2 linked regions of the Tamandua tetradactyla genome follow. The protein of the gene in region 1 purifies or fractionates together with the protein of each later gene. This does not show direct contact. Links are inferred from orthologs where the notes say so. Each region holds a gene or a part of one and is shown on either strand. Other genes may lie near its edges.

Region 1 (11,612 bases):
GTGGCCTTCTAAAATCTACTTCTGGTCTCCTACTGCAGAAAGCAGTGTCCCCCCAATCAAGCTACTGCTACACAGATTATACAGTAACAACCTGATTATTAATCCTTTACAGAAAATGACCAATTAAAAATTACAAATGTTTTAAAGCTAAGAATTCAAAGGAACCAGGAATGTCCCAAGTATATTAATTTTCCTCTCTCTCAGCTTTTGTCTATTCTAAACGCACTGTGCTTAATAAATCTATTTCAGACACTGCTGTCCTCTTAATAGCATTTTCAATGATGCAGTGGTTCAGTATCTTATTTGGTTCAAATACAACCTTAAATTAGAATAATCTATTCTTCAGGCTCACTTTTCAATTTCCGGGATATTGAGTCAATCCACAACTGACCTTTGATTAATCTCCCAAAGCAAAATGGACACTTATTTGAAAACACCGTGTCTTCTGCACAAGGGTTCTCAATACCTACGGTGTTACCTGATCCAATAGCAGAGAAACATAGCTGAGTTGAAGTTAGGTCTCAAGTGCAAGGGAAGAACAGTATGCCTTACCTAATTGGCAGTGTTTTTTTGTTATACTATATAAACAATCATTCTTAAATATCCCAACTCTCTAACTCAAATATGGGAACTGATTCCACCTGGCATGGAGAGAACACCTCTCCAGGTAGTCACCAAATGCTGGCTTCAAATTCTCACTGAAGGAGAATTTCTCCTTTCACTGGCCCTCAGGTTACAGCCCCCTTGACTATCCCTGATATTTGCAAAAAACTCACCAAACCATTCCACATAATATATTAACAGGTACAAACAATTTCATCAGAGAATACGTACAACAGGCAGTCAGTCATAAGGCCAAGAAGCTACTATACCAGTGGTAAGTAAATAGATTTGACACTGGAAGATCTCATCATCACGAAGAAGTGCTGAAGGTTTCCCCTGAAGCACAGCGAACCCAAGAAATTTTGAGTGCTTCTCAAATTTCAAGCTGATGTACAGATGTACAATTTGAGAACTGTCTTTAAAAATCAGTAGTCAGGCAAACACTAAATATCACCATATCATTAGTCACACTTACTGCTTAATCATGTAACCTTGGATAAATCATTAAACCTCTCTGTGCCTCAGTTTTCTCCTTTTTAAAATGCTAATAACAATAAAAAAAAAAAGCTAATACCACCAATTAGGAGCACCAGATGAGTTAACTCAGAATTTAAAACAGCACCCAAATAGTCATCCATTAAATATTGATTATTACACTATTTACTACACTATGCCCTCTTCACTTGAGTTTTCTAAGGTATTTTCAGCATAAGTAATTCCGTGTTCCTCAAAACTAAAGCTTCCTATTCGCATAAAAATTCAAATACATAAAACTTCTGAACAGGCGAGAGCATCAAAATATGTAGCAGTGAAAAACAGAACTGGTAACCAGAAGTATAGAGGCCATTTTCTACACTAAGTAACTTGAAACTTCCAATCCTCAACAAGATAACTTCTTATTCAGTTCAAAACTGGTCTGAAATGGGACTTATATCACCACTATAACATGTTCCTTCAAATAATGACCCTTTCACTTTTTTCTTCATAGCACCCATCACAACTTGACATTTTAAAACTCAGTTAGGTAACCGATTTGCCTGCTTTGCTCACAAAATAACCCCTAAATCTAGAATACGTGTCAAAATAGGTAAAATTATTTACTCAAAATCAACTAAAAGCAAACACAATTATGGGTTTGGTTAGTCTTGAGAATTCAAATAATCAGTATTTCTATACCGATTAGGATTGATTCCTTTTGATCTTATCTTCCATTAATACTTCAAATTTACAATCGAGCAAAAATGAACAAAGTAAGCAAACTAGTGTTTTATTTCACTTAACATTTATTAAATGCCTGTTATGCGCCAGCTAATACTTCAGGCTCTGAAATATGTTCTATAACTACTTGCGTAAGTATGCTTTAAAAATTGTTTTCTTTGCTTCATATATTTCACAATAAAAAACATTTTTTTTAAAAAAACTAAGCTACATATACTCGTCTTAAAAAACCCCAGATGGTTATTTTACAGGGTGGAAACTAGGAAAAGAAATGTGAATATAGAATTTTTTAAAGAGCCAAGCTATTAAGAGTATGCATGAATGATAACCTCCTTCAGTCTTAAAGTCTGAGATTCTGCCTCTTTTACTTCCTTCTAATAAAAGAACCCTTTATTAGAAAATTTCTCGGAGTTTAGAATGGAATCAGTCACCTGAACCAACATGGACAAACTGGAAAATAGAGCAACATTTTGGATTATTTCTGATGGAGTTGTTCTTTTATTCTCATTAAGGAACAAGGACAATCAATCATGTGTGTCCTTATTAGGTTAATAATTCCGTCAAAATATCAGAAAGTTATTTTGCAACAGATAAAATTTACAAAGACTTTCAAAGTGGTATGGTGAAAACTTTGTAAATGCTAGTTCACAAATTAATATAAACAATGTCCTGAAAAGAGAATCAAAGATTATATAATAATAGATGTCCAAATCCACCTTTCGATGTTTAGGCCCATTGTTTTCCCAAGAATCTGCAAGTCTTCTTAGAACTAAATTAAACAGTTTAGATGTGGGTCATTTATTTGAACTTGGGGAACTTCAAACCACCTTGGTACTAGATCTGTGATAGTCACTGAAGATTCATGTAAACCTCATTTACCTGTCACTTTTAAGTTATTCTGTACATAAAGTTATTCTCTTTTCCAAAGGCCAAGGGCATTACATCATTAGTAAAAGTACTTATAGGAGTATTAACTTAAATTGACAATAAAGTAGGACCTAGATACTAATTTGAAAAGATGTTTTAACCTCATCTACATGAGCAAATTCCCTTTTACAGCATTCCTGAAAACAGGCAAGCAGTGTATGTTTGTGAAACCAGCTAGTCATTTCAGTACTAACTAATCAAGCAGTGATAGTCTGAAACAGTTCTTTGACTACCCTTCCCATACAGGTTTTTTTTTTTTTCTGAAAGCCCAGTCCTCCCAGACAGGACCCCAAACCACTGCCTCACTTTACTAGCTCTCCCCAGACTTCTGAGGACAAGGAAGCATACTACAAATTTAGCTCAATAAATTTACATAAACGCCTCATTCTAATACATACTCCCCCCACCCTCTCCATTCAATTTAAGAGCAAGATGGTTAGTTAAGTATCTTATTCTGGGAATGTCAATAAAGAAATTTCTAAGAAATTATAGAGAAGTCATAGAAGAATTAAAGATATTACAGGCCAAATCCTTTATTTCCATTTTAGAATAGTTTAGGTTTAGACTGATCAGAATCAACCTTTCTTCCTCCAAATAATCCTGGGTCAAGACAACCACCCACTCAGTTTCTGTGCTTTTGAGATACACTATATAACAACCTTTTGTTAACACGCGCTAATTCTTTAGAATCGTGGCAGTAGCGGTCCTGATCCGCACTGCCCATCAACTAACATTCATATCCTCCTCCCGTACAAATAGAAAGATTAAGATCAAAGGGAAGAAAAAGGGAACAGTTTGAGCCTCAGGGGCTGAACTTACTTGCTCCCTATTCATTTTCCTAGCCCACGATCTCAAAAACTTTAGTTAAGTAAGAACAACCTAGACAGGGGTCTCTAATCAGGCGCAGACGACAGCCTCGAAGCCCATCACCACGTGTCGAGGGACGCCGCCGGGGTTTCCCCTCCTAGCTCCGCCACCGCCGCCCGTGGGCGGAGAGCCGGGAGGCTCGCAGCCTCCCCCGCCCCCTCCCAGCCTTAGGGCCTCCTCCCTTCACTGCCCCTCCCACCCGTCGGAATTCGCAGCCTCCGCTGTTCTTTCCATCCCCCCGCGACCTCCCTCCGGGAATTATTTTTGAGGGTGAAGCGGGGGCGTCGAGGAGGCGGCGGGCTCCGTACTAGGGCCCGGCCCGCACCAAGGGTGCCTCCCGGTCCCTCACGGCACTACCGCTGACTTCTCAGGGCGTCCAGGGCGCGCCGCGGCCTCCCTCTGTCCACACGGAGAAGCCGGTGAGGCACGGAGGACCTCGGCGCACACTAGCGCGACCGGCCGCCACAGGCCTCGCGGGTCGCCAAAGGCCGCACCGACCCTTGCGTCTCCTCAGCAGTCCCTGAAAGAAACGACGGCCAGTCCTGCGGCCGTCTCGAAGGCTGAGGAGTCGAAATTCCGCGGACAGGTCCGACCCCACAGCACAGCCAAGGAGAACCAGGCGCCCACGGTCCCCACTTTCAGTTCCCTGTTCTTCCCTTCCCTCTGCGTAGGCCGTTCGGCCAACTCCAGGTTCCCCTCCCTTCCAGGCCCCCATCCGTTACCGGCAGCTAGTACGGGGAGCCAGGCGGCCGAAGCTGCGCAGGCAGTGACTCAGGGCGGCAGCAGCAGCGGGAGGAGCAGGAGGCGGCGCCGCGAACAGATGGCGCTAAAAAAGACCCAAGAGCCCGCCGCACGCGCTCATATACAATTAGCGTCAGCACGTAGACTCGCTCCGCCGCCCTCCTCCCGGCCTCTCCGTCTCCTAGCAACGCGAGGAGGAGGCGGGTCCAGGCCCGGTTTCCTAGCAACAGAACTGTCCCTCTTCCCCCGCGGCCTCCACGCTCTTGCTGCTGGCTCTTCCCGCCCCGCGGCTCTTACTTGGCGCTCGGACTCCCCCGGTTCCCGCCTGTGACTAACCTCTGCTTCCTGCTACACGCTGCGTAGTCTCTTTTGCTCTCTGCTACACTGGGAAGGAATTCTCAACCCCATGGTTCTAGGTTGAGGCTCTGATTCCGGCCTCATCCATGGCCCAAATCGCCCCCCACCCCCAACCCTCAGCGTTGTCCGGAATGGGGAAGGGAATAGGGGGAGGGGGGCCATCCATCTTTTGCCCCGCTTGCCGCATTCTGCCGTAGTGTGCGCCTCAGTCCCTGTGTAGATCCCGGTCTTATTCTTGGCCTTAATCTTGCAACTCTGTGGTAAACATTTTCCGTCTCTGCCGTATTTTTCTCTTAGAGCAACAGTTCTTCCCCCGTGACCACCTTTGGTGGCGTCTTCTTAGCTCAGCGTGTCTCCAGGCCTTCCCGGGTGCGCCTCACCCGTACACCCTCCATCTTTACACCCTCCATCTTTACCTGGCATGAGAACCCTCGTTTCTACTTTGGTTCTTTTGATGGATTAATGTGGCGTATTGTTTGGATGTTTTTTTTAATGAAAACACTCACCATATCCATAGCTTTCCTCTTTCTCTAAAAGAACAAACTGTATATCCTTAATCGTATGAACCCACAGGCTGTTTTTCAATTGATACTGGGTTGACTAATTTCAACTCCTTAGAACAGTGATTCTTAAGGTGTGGTCTAAGGGTCCTATAGACCCTTACATGGGGAAGTCAAAACCGTTTTCATAGTAATAGTAAGACATTATTTGGCTTTTGCACTCTCATTCTCTCGGAAGTGTACAAGGGAGTTTTCTAGTGGCTATAGGACAGCGTCGTATGGCAACAGATGGAAATAGAAGTAGATATGAGAATCCAGCCATCTGTTAAAAGCGAAATTAAGGAGAATTGCAAAAATGTAAAACAATGCCAGTTTTCTCACTCGATTTTTTTTGTTTTGGAAAGTATTTTTCATAAAACATCTTAATATTTGGTTTACTGTTTAAATCAATGAATGCACATTTAAAAAATGTCTCAGTTTAATTTCTAATGTGGTAAATATCAATATATATAACACACATGCACAGGAACTTTTGGGGGTCCTCAGTTTTTAAGAGTTACTGTAAAAAAGGCCTGAGACCAAAAAGTTTGAGGTCCTTTACTCTACATATTGCAGTCTTCAAACTATCTGAAATAATCTATTATAATCCTCATGTATAGCAACTATTTCTGTTCCATCTTAAAGGATATAGTTATTTTCTTGGCAGTCCCCAACCTCACTGAAATTAATTTCCTTTCCCATTGCACATTACAGATGCCCCAGTTTACCCAATCATTTTGGTTCTTCATATCTGAGAGTTTTATTTTTTCCTGCCTTCTTCATATACTACTCCACCTTGATGTTAGGATAACCCTAATTATAATAACATCAATGATGACTCCTCATGAAGAACCCACTATACATGAAGTAGAACAGTTCTCAAACTGTACATAAACTTGGCATTAATTTTAATGGCACCCTCCAGATTGTCATGTTCTAATCAAAGTTATCCACAGTCCAAGGTAGTTAGCATATTAAAAATGAAGTAAATAATGCTCACCTGCTTTCCATAAACCTTCATGGTGGGAGAATTTTTGAAACAAAATTGAGAAATTAGACTTTATAATGGTTTCTATCCCAAGGGAGCCCCACTAATTTCAGACACTCCAATGTCCTAAGGCTCCTAATTTCTTAGGTTCCACCCCTCCCCCCATAATTGAGGATTTACAATTATTAGTTTACATACTTTCTTTCCTCTTTTCTCCAGCCCACTCCTCTAGCTTCTTTCTCTAGCCTCCTCTTCCTCTCCTTTTAGTGTATACTAGCCAATGTAAGAAACTTACATGCTAATAAAGCCTGTCTTTTAATTGTGGTCTTTTGAACCAGTTTGTAAATCTAAACCTTTACCATTTAAGTCCAGAAAAGGCCAAACATTGCTGCACTCATTCAATAAATATTATGTATTGGCCACAACTTGAGACCCTTGGAAGTGCAGCAATGAACAAGACAAGGTTCCTGATTTTATTGAAGTTTATAGTGAGGGGGAGCAAATGATTAACAAATAATGAAATAATTTCAGATATTGGTAAGTGAAAGAGCTATGAAGGAAATAAAATGAAACAAAAGGGTAAAAGGTGATTGCTCTGAAGATACCACCGTGGTTTTTTTTTTCACATCAACCCCTGTTGATCTCCAAAATTTAGTTACAGTAAAGGGTGTTGCTGAACTTGGGTCATGCTAAACTTTCACTTGAAGTTCCTTTTTTCTTCATACCCCATGTTTTTCATTTGGTAGCTGTTTCAGTTTGTTAAAGCTGCCAGAATGCAATGTACCAAAAATGGATTGGCTTTTATAAAGGGGCTTTAGTAAATTACAAATTACAATTCTAAGACTGTGTAAATGTCCAAATTAAGGTGCCAGGAAGAGGATACCTTCTCTCAAGAAAGGCTGATCACATCCAGGGTTTCTTTGTCAGATGGGAAGACACATGGCTACACCTGTTATCCTTCTCTCCTGGCTTCTGGGTTCACATAGCTCTCTTAGCTCCTTCTGCCTCTCCAGATGTCTGTGTCTTGGTTTCATCTCTCTGCTGTCTGTGTTGGCTCTGATCTCTGTCTCTCTCCCCATGTGTTCTTTTAAGGACTTCATTAATTAAGACCCACCTTGAATGGGTGGGGCTTCATCTCCATGGAAACAACCTAATAAAATCTACAGTAAGTCTGTATCCACAAGATTAGATTAAAAGAACATGGCTTTTCTGGGATGCATAATAGTTTCAAACACCAGCACAGTAGCTTTTTTTTTTGTATGCTGTATAGTGGGTTCATATTTCATTCTTTTTCCCATGTGAGTATCCCATTATTGCAGCACCATTTTTTGAATTTTTGTTTGGTTTTTTTCTTTCTTTGCTTGTTTGTTTTGGGGAGATGCATGGTCTGGGTATCCCGCATGGCAGGTGAGAATTCTACCACTGAACTACCCTTGCACTCCCACAGTAGCTTATTATAGCATTGTATCCTAGTGGTTTAGAGGTGTGGCTTTGAAATCAGATGTGACTTTGGAGTCAAAAAGCAGGTTCCCTCCCTATTCCACTGTGTGATTTTGAAGCAAGTCACTTAAACGCCCTAAGCCTCAGTTTCCACATCTGAATCCTACGAGAGACAAAAAAGTTCGTTCCTCAAAGAGATGTTATGAAATTTTTAATAATACATGTAAACTGATAAACATAGTGCCCAACACATACTGAACATTCAATAAAAAGCTCACCATTATGAAACTCACTGATGTGTTTTTTATTTTTGTTTTATTTAAAGGTTGCAGAAACATCTCTGAAGTCTTCTAATAGTATCCGATGTTCTTTTTAATTATTACTTTATTAAAAGCTATCTTCTCACAAATTTTAAAACATTTTCCTGAGCAGAAATAATCCATACCAAATTACCACAAAAATATTATATTCAACATATTTAGATGTAGATACTGTAGGATTCAACCACACAAGATGGCAAGAGTATATTGTGTTCTATGTCTGTATTTCAAACTTGCATAAATTTTCATCCAAATACTCTGTGACTTTGCCTCAGGATTTCCCATCAGGAAAATTAATTAATAATTCCACTGAAAACTGCCTCTTTCATAGCATGAACTAGAAAAATGTATACAAGCCCCACAGCAATGACTTGCGCTTTAAGCACTAGTTTAATGTTCATTTTTTTCCCCTCTGAGCTAATCAGTATATAAAGGTTCCAAGAGCACCAATAATAATCATCATCTAAAAACTGCTCAAGACACATTGAAATAACTACTATTATATTAGTTGTAGGTCTGGTTGGTATTATTTTTCCAAATTAATGTATAAATGCAACATAAATCAGTCAAAATTCGAACGGGAACCTGTGGACAAGGTTTCTTAAATTTCTCCCTCTACATCTGAAGCAGGATTAATAAACATTTTCATTGGAAAACACCTTTATTGTACCTTCATATTTAAATAGAAATGTTTATATAGTCATAGATTCATATGCAGTTGTAAAAAATTATAGAGAGATCCTATGTAAACCATAGCCAATTTCCCCCAGTGGGAACATCTTGCAAAACTATAGTTCAATATCCCAACTAGGATACTGACCTTGACACAACCCACAATCTTATTCATACATTCCAGTTTTATGCAGACCCATTTGTGTGTTTGTGAATTTAGATCTATATAGTGTTACTATATATATAGATTTGTGTATCTACCACTACAGTCCTATTAACACAAAGATCCTTTATGTTGCCCATTTATATTGGCTGTTTATTCATTTACATGCTATGGTACCACTTACATGAACCCTATATTTTATAACTTTGAACTATTCAGGAGAACCTTGTTCTAGTTTGCTAGCTGCTAGAATGTGAAATACCAGAAACGGAATGGCTTTTAGAAAGGGGAATTTAATAAGTTGCTAGTTTACAGTTCTAAGGCCGAGAAAATGTCCCAATTAAAACAAGTCTATAGAAATATCCACTGTAAGGCATCCAGGTAAAGATACCTTGGTTCAAGAAGGCCAATGAAGTTGAGGGTTTCTCTCTCAAGTGACAAGACACATGGCGAACATGGTCACTGTTTCTCTTTCATCTGGAAAGGCACATGGTGAACTCAGTATCATCTGCTAGCTTTCTGTCCTGGCTTCCTGTTTCATTAAGCTCCCTGGGAGGCATTTTCCTTCTTCATCTCCAAAGGTCGCTAGCTGATGGACTCTCTGCTTCTCGTGGCTGTGTCATTCTGCTCTCTCAGAATCTCCAGCTTTCTCCAAAATGTTTCCTCTTTTATAGGATTCCAGCAAACTAATCAAGACCCACCCAAATAGGTGGAGACACATCTCTACCTAATCCAGTTTAACAACCACTCTTGATTAAGTCACATCTCCAGGGAGATGATCTAATTACAGATTCAAACATACAGTACTGAATAGGGATTAGAAGAAATGGCTGGATTTATAAAGTGGGATTAGGATTAAAACATGGTTTTTCTAGGGTACATACATTCTTTCAAACCTCAACACGCCAGGTGTTTTCAATGCCTTCTTCTCTCTCCTCTTCTACTTATCCTTCAAGGTCTAACTCAAATGTTCACTTCTCTTGGGAATCTTCCCTGATGCACCAAGGCTGAGGTGGTTGCACACACTTCTACATTTCTAGATAATTCTTATAATTGTTACGAGCCCATACTTTCCTCTCTCCCAATATGTACCAAATTCTTAGTTGTGAAAAAGCAGTGTCCTTGTTTTTGTTCAAACCCCTAGTTTGGACATGACTAGCAGGGAGAAAACCTTCAAAAATGTTTATTTGAAGGGATAAAATGAAAGGAAAGAAGGGAAAAAGAAAAGAAAGAAGTCATTGAAAAAAACAGGAAGTCACAATAACCTTATATAAATAATCCTTTCTTGCAAAGACCATTATATCAATTCTATGTTTAGCATAGAGTCTATGGAAGAAAATTCTGTCAATCTTTGTTTGGATATTGTTTCCCCTCATCTGTGAAACAACTCGGTGGTAAAAAGAAGGTAAAGAAATACTAAAACCTTTGAGATCATATTGAAAAAGGAAAATAAACTATATGGTAAAATTAGGAGACAGGGAATCCAGTAGTGAAAAAATAGTTTGTGAAATGTGGTGATGCCCATCATAGATTATTATGTAGCAGAAATCAAATGTAATGGTAACATGAATGAATGAGGTCATCAACAAGGCAACATAAGACATCCTTTGGAAAAGTCTCCCTTTAGAATCAGGTAATATAATATCAAATTGCACTTGCATGAAACCCTGGAGGATGGTAGAGACTGGAGAAGGGCTCCACACACATTAAATCAAAGAAAAAGCACAATGCTCTACATTTCCTTCTCAGAATTGATGGTCCAGACCCTTTCCTCTCACTCAGTCCTGTGAAACTGGGAGTCACGTGGAGGCAGCAAAGCCCTGGATCTCCCTGCCATAGATGCAGAGTGTAGAGACACTCACAGCGGCGAGTTAGAACCCCATGCGTATCTAGGCACAGGGACCCAAGTCTGCAGAGACCCACCGTGGAACACAAGCTGCTAAAGAGTACTACATACAAAGTGTCCTCAGAGGGGAAAGAAATAAAAAGAGAGAGACCACAGGAGAAGAGTTGGCAAGATGTGTACACACTTAATTCAGTTCCTGTTGGCCAGACCACATAAACACAAAATGGGCTTTGCTGGATTGACCCATTGTTTTGGTTTGCTAGTGCTGCTGAAATGCAATACACCAGGAATGGATTGGCTTTTATAAAGGATATTTATTAAGTTACAAGTTTACAGTTCTAAGGCAACGAAAATGTACAAATTAAGACATGCAGCAAGAGAATACGTTCTTGGAGGAAAGGCAGTCAGCATCTGGGATACCTCTGTCAGCTCGGAAGGCACGTAGCTGGAGTCTGAGGTCCTTGCTCCCGGTTCATTGCTTTCAGTTTCTGATTCCAGTGGCTTTCTCTCTAAGCATCTGTGGGTCCTCATTTACCTTCTTCAGGGAAAACTCTGGATTTCATCTCTCAGCTTCCTTTGGCTTTCTCCAGCTTCTAGCTATTTCTGTGGGTCCTTGCTTAGCACCAGGGGTATTTCTGTCTTTATATCCAAATGTTTGTGTCTAGGTGTCAGCTATCTGTATTGGCTCCCAGCTCTTTGTGTCGCCTTTTTAAAGAACTCTAGTAAACTAATAAAGACCCACCTTAAATGGGTAGGGGCACATCTCCATAGAAATAATCTAGTCAAAAGTTTCCATGGGCAATAGGGAGAGACCCTTAAGAGACAGGTGATGATTTCAGCAGTCAGAAGTGAGAGCTTTCATCTCTACTTCAGTCCCTCAGCCTCTGCTGCAGAATTCATCGAAAACCATTGTTGTTGCCAGCCCACAGCC
Region 2 (11,687 bases), on another chromosome or scaffold:
CTGACAGCAAAGGAAACAAACAACAGTCAGGGCCATGGCACTTCCCAGATGTGGGCAGAGGCATTTCTAACACGGGAAAGAGATTTCTAGCACAGGGAGGAAGCTCCATACAAGTCCAAGAGACAGTGAGAGGGGGACAGGGACAGAGAGTTCTGGACCATTTCCCCATCCACCCAGGTCAGAGCCCTAGGCCCTCTACCCCATCTGGAACCTCCCACCCATTCCACCAGACCACCAGGCTGATGCAATCCTGGGACCATCCTCTCCTGCCAAAGGACAACACGAACAGCAAGCGCTGAGAGAGCCCAATCATACCCAGGGCGTAGCCCTAACTTGCGTAGCACCTCCCAGATGACAGCTGCAAGGGGAGGCAAGAAAGGACAAGGGACAGAATATGAACACATGGAATTCAGACCATGGCCACCCATTCAGCTGCAGGCCCAGCCACTCACCCTCACTGGACCGATTTCCATTCATGAAGATGATGCTAAGAAGCACCATGAGGAGACCCAACTTGGGTGAGTCCTTTGTCCTAGAGGAATAGGACAGAGAGGTTTATGCCAAACAGCCATTTGCAAAGGTCATACCAGTCAGCTCACTAGGCTAGTTTCTCCCAGATTCTGCCTAGTCTATGTTCCAAGCTCTAGGTGAGCCTAGGTAAAGCACTCTTTACCAGCCTCCAATCAGTAAAATGAGAAAAATAACATCCTCCTCCTTCCAAGACGACAGAGAATGCCTGTCAATCTGGTACAACACAGGCACTCAGTCAATATGAGTCCCTTCTTTTTCTCCAAGAACCCTTAACCTTAACAGAATTCTAAGCACAGCCCCAAGGATGATTCTCTTGCCCTTCAAACATCATAACCTACCCACACCAAGAAGCCTCCTGTGAGAAGACTCTAACAAAGCCAGGCATGGCACACAGCAGGAAGAGACAAGCAATGGCAGGCTTGCTCTTCTGGGAAGCTTCTGGAGGGATAAAAAACCTGACAAGAATGCCCTAGCCCAGACTTATTCTATACCCTTCAAAATCAGGCACCACTATGAGTGTAGGGCTCCAACTACGCAGGAATTGGAATAGAGCATTTAAATCCCTGTCTTTCCTGACTCTCTAAGAGTGTATAAGAGAGAAAACATGGAAGGGATAGTAACAGACAAAAACAGAAAATCCTCTTCTACCCAATCCCTTCCCCAGCTTACGTTCCCAGTATGCCTGCATCAGTGGGCTCTAGGGTGCTGAGAAGAATGTACAAGTGGTCATTCTTATCGATTTCCTTCAATTGGATTCCAAAAACCTATGGATGGGGAGAACACCTCATGAGGCCAAAAAATTCAGCTTCCTAGCCAACCACAGTTCCCCATGTACCTAGGGTTTTGAGTGTCAGAAATAAGTGAGATAATGCATGTAAAATACTTAGCTAAGTGCCTGGCACACAGTAATCACGGAATAAATGCACTACTGTTTTCTATGCAATTAATGGGAATCTAAGGAGACAGAGAATGGGGAATGGAAGGGAGAGGTAATCATCTGAAATACATCACAGGATGCGTCCAATAGTGGACAGAAGCCACAACTAAGAATTTGGGTGGACTGGGTCCTAGCTGTGCTTTTACCTCTGACTGGCTATGTAATTCATGGCTAGTCTATGCCCCTCCCTAGGCTACCATCTTGCCAGTGATAGGGCTGGATTAGCAAGTATATGTGGTCCCTCCCAGAAGGGACATGTACACCTTTGTTCAGGGCTTCCCCATTGTGCCCATCCCCCAGGGCTACCCCTTCACCTTCTCCAAGGAATAGCCTGCTCGTTCAATGATTTCAGGGTACACATCAGTGTATTCTTTGATGATGTCCTTCAGCATGTCTGCAAGGGGAGAGTGTTGCGAGCACCTGGGCTGAAGAGAAGCCAGGCGGCCCCCATGCCCTGCCCAAGCTATAGACCCTTGCCAACCATGCTATGGGTGGTGTAGCACGGTTCTGTGCTAATGAACACAAATGCGAGCACTGCCAAAGTAGAACTACGGGAGGACACTGGTCTGAGCATAAGAGCAAAGGATGCCCCCAGCACATGGGAGAGAGGGCAATGGAGAGCAGAGTTCAGGGAGAGCTGATGGTTAGTAAGGCTTTACCTGAGCGCTTGATGGGGATCTTTGTCTGGTCTTTAACCAGCAAGTATTTCACCAAATCATTTGCCTGAGAGAAGAGGAAAAGATGGAAAGATCAGATATGTTTCCAGAAGATTTGAGAGCATGGCAGAGCAGAGGGCAGACAATGCAGTAGAAAAACCAGAGTGGAACGGCCAGAGTTCTTACCCTGCCTTGCAAAAGGGCTACATCCCGAGGTGGCAGCACTTGGGGTTCTTGGGATGATTGAAGCTTGGCGGCTCTACGACGAGCCTTTCCCCTACGGGCCTTAGGTGACCTCAGTGACAGCAAGGCTCTCCGGGCCCAAGCAGCCAACCGAGTCCTCGATGCCCTGCGGGCCCAAAAGGCTATGGGGCCCCTTGAGGCTCTGCGGGCCATTGAGGCCATTAGGGCCTTTGAGACCCTTCGACCACCTGTGGTTCCAGAAGCCTGACTCTGATCACTGCTGCCATCCTCTTCCCCATTCAGATGCTTCACCTGTATCAACAAAGAGGGAGCTCAACATCACCAGATGAAGCAGATGGTCATTTTTCCTCATGCTGAGACTTCCAGGAAGCTTCCCCAACCCCACCCCATAATAACAGCCTGCTTCACTAGCCTCTGGTGTCATACAGAGTCTTGAGTTTGTCTTTCACTGACTTCCAGGCAGGAGTTTAATCTCCCCACCAGGCCAGAAACACTGCAAGGGTGGGACGTAAGGCTTCTTCTCTTCTTATATCCACTACTGGCTCTGCCTGTACTACCCTGGACAAGTCACTTAATCTCTCTGTGGCTTAGCTTCCTTCTCCATAACACTAAGACTATGATCCCTAACTGGTAGGAGTTACCTTCAAAATTCAATGAGATAACCTGTGTGAATGTGCCTAGCTCAAGTCCTAACACATGGTAAATATAAACTGAATTATATTCAGATTGCAACTAAGTATATTCATATCTCATCTCTCCCCCAATGTAAGTTCTCTGAAAATACGAACTATATCACATTTCTCTCAGTGTTCCCACAGTCTTGAAGAGCACAGGGAACCTTGGTAACTTTTTATATAACAAATGAACCAACAGGGGGAATGGAAACGCCAGGGTGGAAACTACAGAGCTCTTACCTTTCGGGCTTTCTTGGCCTTGACTTTGGGCCGGGTATCCTGATTCTCCTGAGCCTGGGCAGCTGTATCCTCAGACTCAGGTTTATCTGCCAGAGCCTGAGAGGCAGCAGCCTCAGTTTCCAGGGCCTTTGTAATGACCTGGGTGCTACCCATACAGCTGACCTCTTTGGGCTCACTGGCAGGTACTGTCACAGCCTGCGAGTCAGTATTCTGCATTTTAGTGTCAGCAGGTGGACTCTTGCTGTCAGCTGCCAGAACCTGGGTATCAGTAAGCTGAGTGGTAGATGAGGCCTGGGTAGCAGCTGCCTCCTGAGACTCTGGGGCCTCTGAGACCTCTGTGGTCTTTGAGGCCCCTGGGGTATTTGAGACCTTTAGGGTCTCTGAGACCTCTGATGTCTTTGAGGCCTTTGGTGCCTCTGAGACCTCCAAGTTCTGAGTCACTGTCAATAGGGTCTGCATCATCAGGCTGTTTTCTTCTGAAGCTTCTTCAGCCTGCAAGAAGAGGAAGCCGGAAAGTTCAAGAACCTTCTCCCCACCCCCAACTAGGCAAATGGCTCAAAAATCCCAGGGCTGGGAAGAGGACAAGAGGTGGCCTCACCTGGAGATGGGATGGACCCGCACCACCACTCTCACTTGCGTCAGACATTTCTCAAATTGCCTAGCAAAAGAGCCTGAAGGAAAGAAAGCCTAGGTCAACGGCAGAGCTCACTGAACGTACTCTTCCGTTTTCTGCTTAAGGCTGACCCTCACCTTCCCTAGGGCCCCAATCCCACACCTCCCCCATCCCCAACCGCAACGACTTCGTTCTCAGATAAAGGAATCCAGAGCGTCTAGAGCCCAATTCTCCGCAGCCGCACCCTCCCCTTCTACAGGAAGATGTGCCAGCGCGGCAGCTCTAAGGACCCCGCCCCTTTTCCCAATGCACCCCCAGCCGCAGGTCGATAGTACGCATGCGCGTCCGCTGCAAGGCCCATCTCAGCTCCGCCTACTTTTCTAACACAAGCCCTTTCTTTGCGGTCCACCGTGCACATGCGCACTCGGCAGCAGGCCCGTCTCCCGGTCGGCCCTTCTCTACACGCCCCTTTCTAGCGATCCATAGTACGCATGCGCGCTGGTAATGGTCTCAGCCCAGCACCCTTTCCCAACACACGCCTCTCTCCAGGTTTCCAGTACCATTAGTTCCCGCCCCGTCTCCAACAAGCCTCTCACCCAAATTATCCCAGTGTCTGGTGGCCCCGGCCCCTCCCCAACTTACACCCACCCCACCAGGTCCACAGTGCCTCCTGGTCCCGCCCTTTTTCCTAACACACCCCCCTCTAAATAGGGCAAAGTGACCCTTCCCTAATACATCCCCCTCCTCAGATCAGTATTGAACTAGTGGTTCCATCTTGCGCCGGGCCAAACCGGGTCCAGTGCCTTCCCTTCCCAGCCGGACGGATCCAGTATGATCCGGTGCTTATGGCAGGTTTTCGCCAGATCCCAGAGGGTGGGGCCAACACCTACCCGGTTCTGATCCGAAGCTGGGCCCAGCTCACCTCGTCCTCCTACAAGCCCCAAATTGCGTGCGATCTCTCCAAGCCCCTCCGAAACTCGAAGACTGCCCTCCCCCCTTCAGGCCGGAAGTGGTCCCGCCCCTTTCCGCCTCCCTAGGGGGCCTCAGTCCCAGCCTGTCTGCCCCTCCCCCATTCCCTGCTCCTCATTCCTTATTCCCCACCCCACCCCCGTAGTCCCTCGTTCCGTATTCCCTATTCCCCCATCACGTTTTCTGTTTGCCCCCACGGAATTTTCTATTTCCATTCCGTACATCCTCCTCCGTGTTACCTATGCTCCCCCACCCCCCACTATTCCTTAATCCCTCTGTGCATCCCTATTCTCTTCTCTGGATCTCCATTCCCCTTCAGTGTTCCCCTCCCCCGTCGTACACCGCGTCCCCCACCCGACATGCCGGATTCCCGGTTTTTCCCCTCCTCACCCGCTATTCTCTACTCCCCAGTCCCTACAGCCTACTACTCTATCAGTCGTCGTAGCTGCACCCCACTCCGGGTCACGTCTCCGCCAGCTGCAGTGCTGCAGTAAGAATTGCCCACCTGCCTAGCTATGGGTTCAAAGAAGCTGGAACCACTGTCTAACTGCGAGGGAACCCCAATCTCAACGACCCTCACCTAGTCCGCGACCGAGTCCGGAATGCGTCTGCCTTCTCTCAGTCCTTCTCGAAGTCTCAGACTCCAGGGCTAAAGCTGCAGCCAGCCCAGCCCAGCCCAGCCCCTTTCCGCAGCCCCCTGCCACCCCACCCTTCGCCTTCCTCGGGGGTGGGGCAATGGGGCCCGGCTCAAGGCTGTCTGACGCCAAAGCCCTATGCCACTGTACTAGGCTTGGTCTGAAGCCTTTCCAACCAAAACCACCCCCTCAAAGCCCTTCATTCATTGAATTTGTTTATTTTTATATCATTATTTTACCTTATTACAAAGGTACTGTCTTGTCGTGAAAATTCTAATAATGCAGAAATATATAACATACCAGTGAAGTACTGCCCTTATCCCATCCCCCAGAAATAACCACTCAATATTTTGACATGCATCCCACCAGCTTTTTCTATTCATATACTTATTACTTGGGTTTCCCCCCACAAATGGCACACTTATATGGTACACAAATGGTACACTAGTCATTCGTGAACTAGATTTTTTCCAGTTATATATTCTGAACATCTATCTCAGTTCACATTTTTCTTAGCTGCATGATCTTTTCTAATATACTTGCTCCATAATTTATTTAGCCAGCCGAGTATCCATGGACATTTAGATTGCTTCCTTTTTTTTGGTTTTATTTTTGTTTGTTATTACAAACAATGCTACAAGGAGAATTCTTGTATCTGTATCCTTCTGCAATTGTGCTTGTATCTGTAGGATAAACTCATAGAAGTGGAATTGCTAAGTCAAGTACTAGAAAAGTTTTCCATTTTAATACAAGATTTGCAGACTTGCCTCCCCAAAATATTAAACTGAATAATACTTTCACCAATGGTATTTAGCATATGTTTCTATGTCAAATATGTTTGTTATTTATGGTATGTTTTGCTAACCCAAATGCTACAAAAAGTCTTCCATTTTGATACAAAATTTGTCAAGTTACAGCCCAAAAGATACATGGAATAACATTCCCAGCAATAATGTCCTCATATATTTATGCGCTGCATATATTGCAAATACTGTTCATGTTATTTATGATCATTTTTGCTATACAAAATAGTTTATTATTTACTCAAATATATCAGTTTTTTTTCCTTTATCATATCTGGGTTCTGCATCATGCTTAGAGATGCTTTCCACACTCCTAAACTACAACAATTCCTGTTTGTTTTTTTCAATCACTTTTTTTTTTTTTTTTTTGCATGGGTGACCACCGGGAATCAAACCCAGGTCTCGGGCATGGCAGGCGAGAACTCTGCCACTGAGCCACCATGGCCCACCCTGTTTTTTTCAATCACTTTTATGGCTTTATTATTTACATTAAAATTTTTATCATTCCAAAATTTGCTTTAGTAAAAGGAGTGAGGTAGGGAATTCAGTTTTATTAATGTCCCCAAATCATAATCACTATCCATATATCATGTACAAACTAATCCACTCTGCTATTGATCTGAAATGATGACTTAATCACACATTATTTTGTTTCATGGCTGCTAAATCAAATACCATGCAATGAGTTGGCTTAAACAATGGGAATTTATTGGCTTAGTTTGGAGACTAGGAGAAGTCCGAAATTAAGGAGTTGTCAAAGCAATGCTTTCTCCCAGAAGACAATTATGTTTTGGGGCTGGCTGCAAGAGATCGCTGGTCCTTGGCTTTTCTGTCACATAGCAATATACATGGAGGCCTCTCCAGGCCTCTCCTTTACTCTTCCAGGTTCTGTTGATTTCCAGCTTGTGGCTGCTCCCTGTGGCTTCTCTACCATTTTGGCCTTCCTTCCCTATAAGGTCTTCAGTGATAGGATTAAGACGCATCCTGATCCAACTGAGACACACCTTAACTGAAGTAACCTCATTGAAATGTCATATTTACAAGGGGTTCACACTGATGGGAATGAATGAAGTTTAAGAACATGTTTTTCTAGGGTGCACAGCTCTAAGCCATCACACATATTAGATTCACATAAGTAATTAACTCCATGCAAGAGAACAAAATAAAATGTATAAATAATGGAAAATAGACAAAATTGTCATTAATTAACCTGGAAAACCCAGGAATATCATCTTAAAAATTATGAAAAACCATAATAAAATTCAGCACAGTGGTCAGTTACAGAAAAAATAGTCAATATCTTTCCTACATGTAATTCGATGTAATTCAAATGGCCACAAAGCCTTCTGCTTGATGGCCTTTACTAAACAGTGAAATATCATGAGTCCATATATTCCATGGACAATTTAAAACATGCGCATACTCACACATTCCCAGGCATTCAAGGTAGGCTTTTGTTCTCTTGTCTCCTCTCTCTCTAAATTGCTGCTTCCTCCAAGTTTGTGACATCAGCTGACCACTTTCCTGCTCCCCATCCACCAACTTTATTTCACACCAGACACACTACCTTAGCCACTATCTCCAGCATTTTAAGTGTCAAAATATCCTTTCTGATCCTCTTCATAAACATTTGCTAGGTGACTTACAGCAGGGGAGAGTCTAACTGAATAGCCAAAAGCCAATTTTGATATTGTCATAAGGCATCATAGGATATATAATTATTTGTGTGTTGTAATATCAACATAAAGTTAGCATTTGATTTTTATTACAGCAATGTATATATGTGGCAACAAATAAAATAGTACAGAATTTATGATAAAAACCAACAGTCCCTGCCTCAATCTTCCCCATCCATCCCACTCCCAAGAAGCAATCTTTAAACCATTTATTATTATTATTTTTAGTTCTACTGGCAATACCCTTCAGTACTCTAGATAATATACATATCCTCTGTTTCTTAGTTGATAAAATTTAGACAATATCCCACTGACTCCCCAGTATGGAAATGAGGGTTTTGTTTATGTACACTGCCTCATTTTTCCCTCCACTCTTCTGCAACATTTAACAGTGATACTCTTTTGTGTTTTTCTCTTGGTTGATTTAAAAATATAATCAAATCTTTATTTCTCGTTCCATCCATTTTTGAGACTGTCCACTTTTTAGGACAAGGTTATTAGTACCACTACCTACCTGCTGCCCATACAATGTATCATACTGTCAGTTTCATTATTCCTTTTACATTATCCAGGTTATTAACATTTATATTTTGCTCTGCAGCCACAACCAAGTCTTCTCTACTTTGCCCCCCGGTTGACTCTAAAACCTGAAAATCAATAGACAGCATTTACATTATCGTGACATTGTAAATATTTTTCAAAACTCAGCCAAGTAGAGAGCCAGGAATACATTTCCTTCTCTACAAGTCCATGTCACAATCCCTGGGCCTCTCAGAGTAACACGTCTCTAGCATCGAGGTCAAAAGAAAGCTCCTCTTATACTCCAGCTGTTAACAATCATACTATATTTTGTTTTGCTTAATATTTAGACTACGATTTTTTAACAGTCCCCCCCTACACACATAGAGTTTCTAATAACTTTTCTTTTTTCCTTGAATTATTTGTCTTTATCATATTCAGTCATTCAACAAATATTTATTGAGTGTCTGCTATGTGCCAGACACTGTTCTACGGGCTGAGGATACAGCAGTGAACAAAACAGATAGCAATCCTTGCTCCTTTGGAATTGATAGTCTAGAGAGAGAAGATAAAAGTCAGTGCAAAGGCCCTAGGTTAGGACTATGTCTGGCACTTATTTTTTCCATGCCTGGCAATTTTGAAGAGTATAAAGATCAGTGTTGCTAGTGCTGGGGAAAGTGGGAAGGGAAGTAATAGGAAATGTGGCCCTATAAGCCACAGTGAGATCCACAGGAAGATTTTGAACAACAGAGAGACAGAAAATGACTTGGGTTTTAAAATGGATTCCTCCAGCTACTGTAAAAATACACTGATGGGGGTGGGAAGGAGTGACAACAGCAAAAAAAGAGGACCAGTGAAGAGGCTGCTGCAGTAATGGCTTCGGTTGGATCCACTGTTTCCTACATTCATTGTTCTGGATACCTGTCCTACACATAACTTCTAATGTGATTTAATCAAATTCTCCTCCATTGTTTCTATTATGTCTGTCTGGGATTTCCATTCAGATATTAAGCCTGCTAGATTGGTTTATGTGTCTTAAATTTTCTTATATTTTCTGTTTTGTTTTGTTTTGTTTTGCCCTATATCCTGGGAGATTTCCTGTACATCATTTTCCAGTCCTTCTGCTGATTTTTTTTTATTTCACCAATTTATTGTCAATATCCAAGTAGTCCTTCTTTTCTCTTATTGTTCCTGTATTGTAAAACCTAGTTTCTTTTTAAAAAACAGTTTTATTCATACACTGTACAATCCATTCAAAGTGAACAATCAGTGGTTCTTGGTTTAGTCACATAGCTATTCATCACAACCACAATCAATATGAGAACATTCTCATTTCTCTGAAAAAAGTATCCCATACCCCTTATGCCCCCTCCCCATGATTGACTCAACTTTGGTATAATGCCTTTGTTACAATTGATGAAAGAATATTTCAATATCACCGTTAACTATAGTCCTCCGTTTGCATTAATTGTATTTTTCCATATACCACCTTATTATTACCACCTTATAATAGTGATGTACATTTATTCTAGTTCATGTAAGAACTTTCTTATATTTGTACAATTAACCACAGTCATTGTCCACTATAGGTTTTGCTATGTTATACAGACCCACGTTTTATCCCCTAGTTTTCCTTCTAAAGACATACACGACCCTACACTTCCCCTTTCAAACATACTCACGCTCAGCACCGTTAGTCACTTTACGGTATTGTGCTACCACCATGTAGTGTTGTGTTATCCATTTCTGAACATTTACAATCAACCTTATTAAACCTTATTTACAGATTAAGCATCAATCTGCCCATTCTCTACTCTCTTTCTATCACCTGGTAACCTATACTCTAGATTTTAGCTCCAAGAGTTTGCTCATTATAATTAGTTCATATTAGTGATACTATATGATATTTGTCCTTTTGTGCCTGGCTTATTTCACTCAACATAATTTCCTCAAGGTTCAGCCATGTTGTTGCATGCATCAGGACTTAATTCCTTCTTATAACTGCATAATATTCCATCATATATATCTACCACAGTATGGTTATCCATTCATCCGTTGATGGACACTTGGGCTATTTCCATCTATTGGCAACTGTGAATAATGCCACTATAAACATCGATCTAAAAATGTCTATTCACGTCCCTGCTTTCAGTTCTTTTGAGTATATACCTAGTAACAGGATTGCTGGATTATATGGCAGTTCCACATTCAGCTTCCTGAAGAATCGCCAAACTGCCTTCCAGAGTAGCTGCACCATTCTACATTCTCAGCAGCAGTGAATAATCATTTCTATTTTCTACACATGCTTTCCAGCACTTTTAGTTTTCTGTTAGTTTTTATTATGGCCATTCTGGTAGGTGTGAAATGATATCTCATCATGGTTTTGATTGCATTTCCCTAATAGCTGGTGATGTCAAGCATCTTTCCATGTGCTTTTTAGCCATTTGTATGGGACCTAGTTCCTATTATATGGATGTTAATAACCTTGCTGAGAATATTATACATTTTATTTTCTGAAATTCTCTTTTGTTTCCCAAATTCCAGAATTCTTCTGGGGTCAGTTGTTGCAGTTATCTTAGTTCTTTGTTTTCGTATTGGAGATTCCCTTGATTTGCCTGAGGATTCTTGGTTATCCATTCATATTTAAGATAAAAGGATTGGGTAGCTAATGTAGGCTCCCTATGTAAGCCCGTTTTCTAGCTAGGGATCTTTCCTGTGAGGAAAATCTGTCAGAAGACTTTATGTGGACTAGGGAAAGTGACAACTGGCAGGCTTTAAGGAGAACATGCTATGGGCCCCCCAAATGCCAGAATGAGGAGACTTTTGTTCTGTGGTGCCAAATGCCATAACACCAGTCTTAGTGATCCCTAGGTAGTTTGTAAAATGTCATGAATTTTGTCTGAAGGAAAGTATTGGAGCTGCAGTTGCTTTATGTGGGCAGAAGGGGGAAAAATAGGGGTTGTGACTGATGCTGATGTCCTATACACAGACGTTCAAGTGATTTCCTTCATCTCAGCTGCACTCCTCACTCCCACTCTTCACTGTACCTCCAGACACCAAATTCAGAGCATCACTGGGTTCTCACAGGTAGACTGACTCCCATCAACTCAACATCTCCCCCACTGCTCCCCCAACTCAGTGGGTGTGGTAGTTAGATTCAGTTGTCAACTTGGCCAGGTGAAGGCACCTAGTTCTGTTGCTGTGGACTTGAGCCAATGGTACGTGAACCT

What was found.
Region 2: the proteins of NAP1L1 (region 1) and MAGED2 purify together in Homo sapiens (affinity purification with mass spectrometry; 4 studies listed by BioGRID and IntAct, counting the BioPlex papers as one, with this or other methods). This does not show direct contact. The link is inferred for Tamandua tetradactyla from reciprocal best matches to the Homo sapiens genes NAP1L1 and MAGED2.

Annotation. Positions count from the first base shown.
Region 1 is NC_135333.1:144,964,377-144,975,988, forward strand, and holds the start of NAP1L1 (nucleosome assembly protein 1-like 1), read right to left. Parts: upstream 4,519-11,612; 5' UTR 4,338-4,518; intron 3,775-4,337; exon of another isoform or gene 3,568-3,774; intron 1-3,567. UniProt on the Homo sapiens protein: Histone chaperone that plays a role in the nuclear import of H2A-H2B and nucleosome assembly.
Region 2 is NC_135353.1:113,824,778-113,836,464, forward strand, and holds the start of MAGED2 (melanoma-associated antigen D2), read right to left. Parts: upstream 5,533-11,687; 5' UTR 5,405-5,532; intron 4,870-5,404; exon of another isoform or gene 4,746-4,869; intron 3,914-4,745; 5' UTR 3,889-3,913; coding exon 3,841-3,888; intron 3,735-3,840; coding exon 3,243-3,734; intron 2,620-3,242; coding exon 2,311-2,619; intron 2,192-2,310; coding exon 2,128-2,191; intron 1,863-2,127; coding exon 1,783-1,862; intron 1,296-1,782; coding exon 1,201-1,295; intron 533-1,200; coding exon 453-532; intron 359-452; coding exon 316-358; intron 1-315. UniProt on the Homo sapiens protein: Regulates the expression, localization to the plasma membrane and function of the sodium chloride cotransporters SLC12A1 and SLC12A3, two key components of salt reabsorption in the distal renal tubule.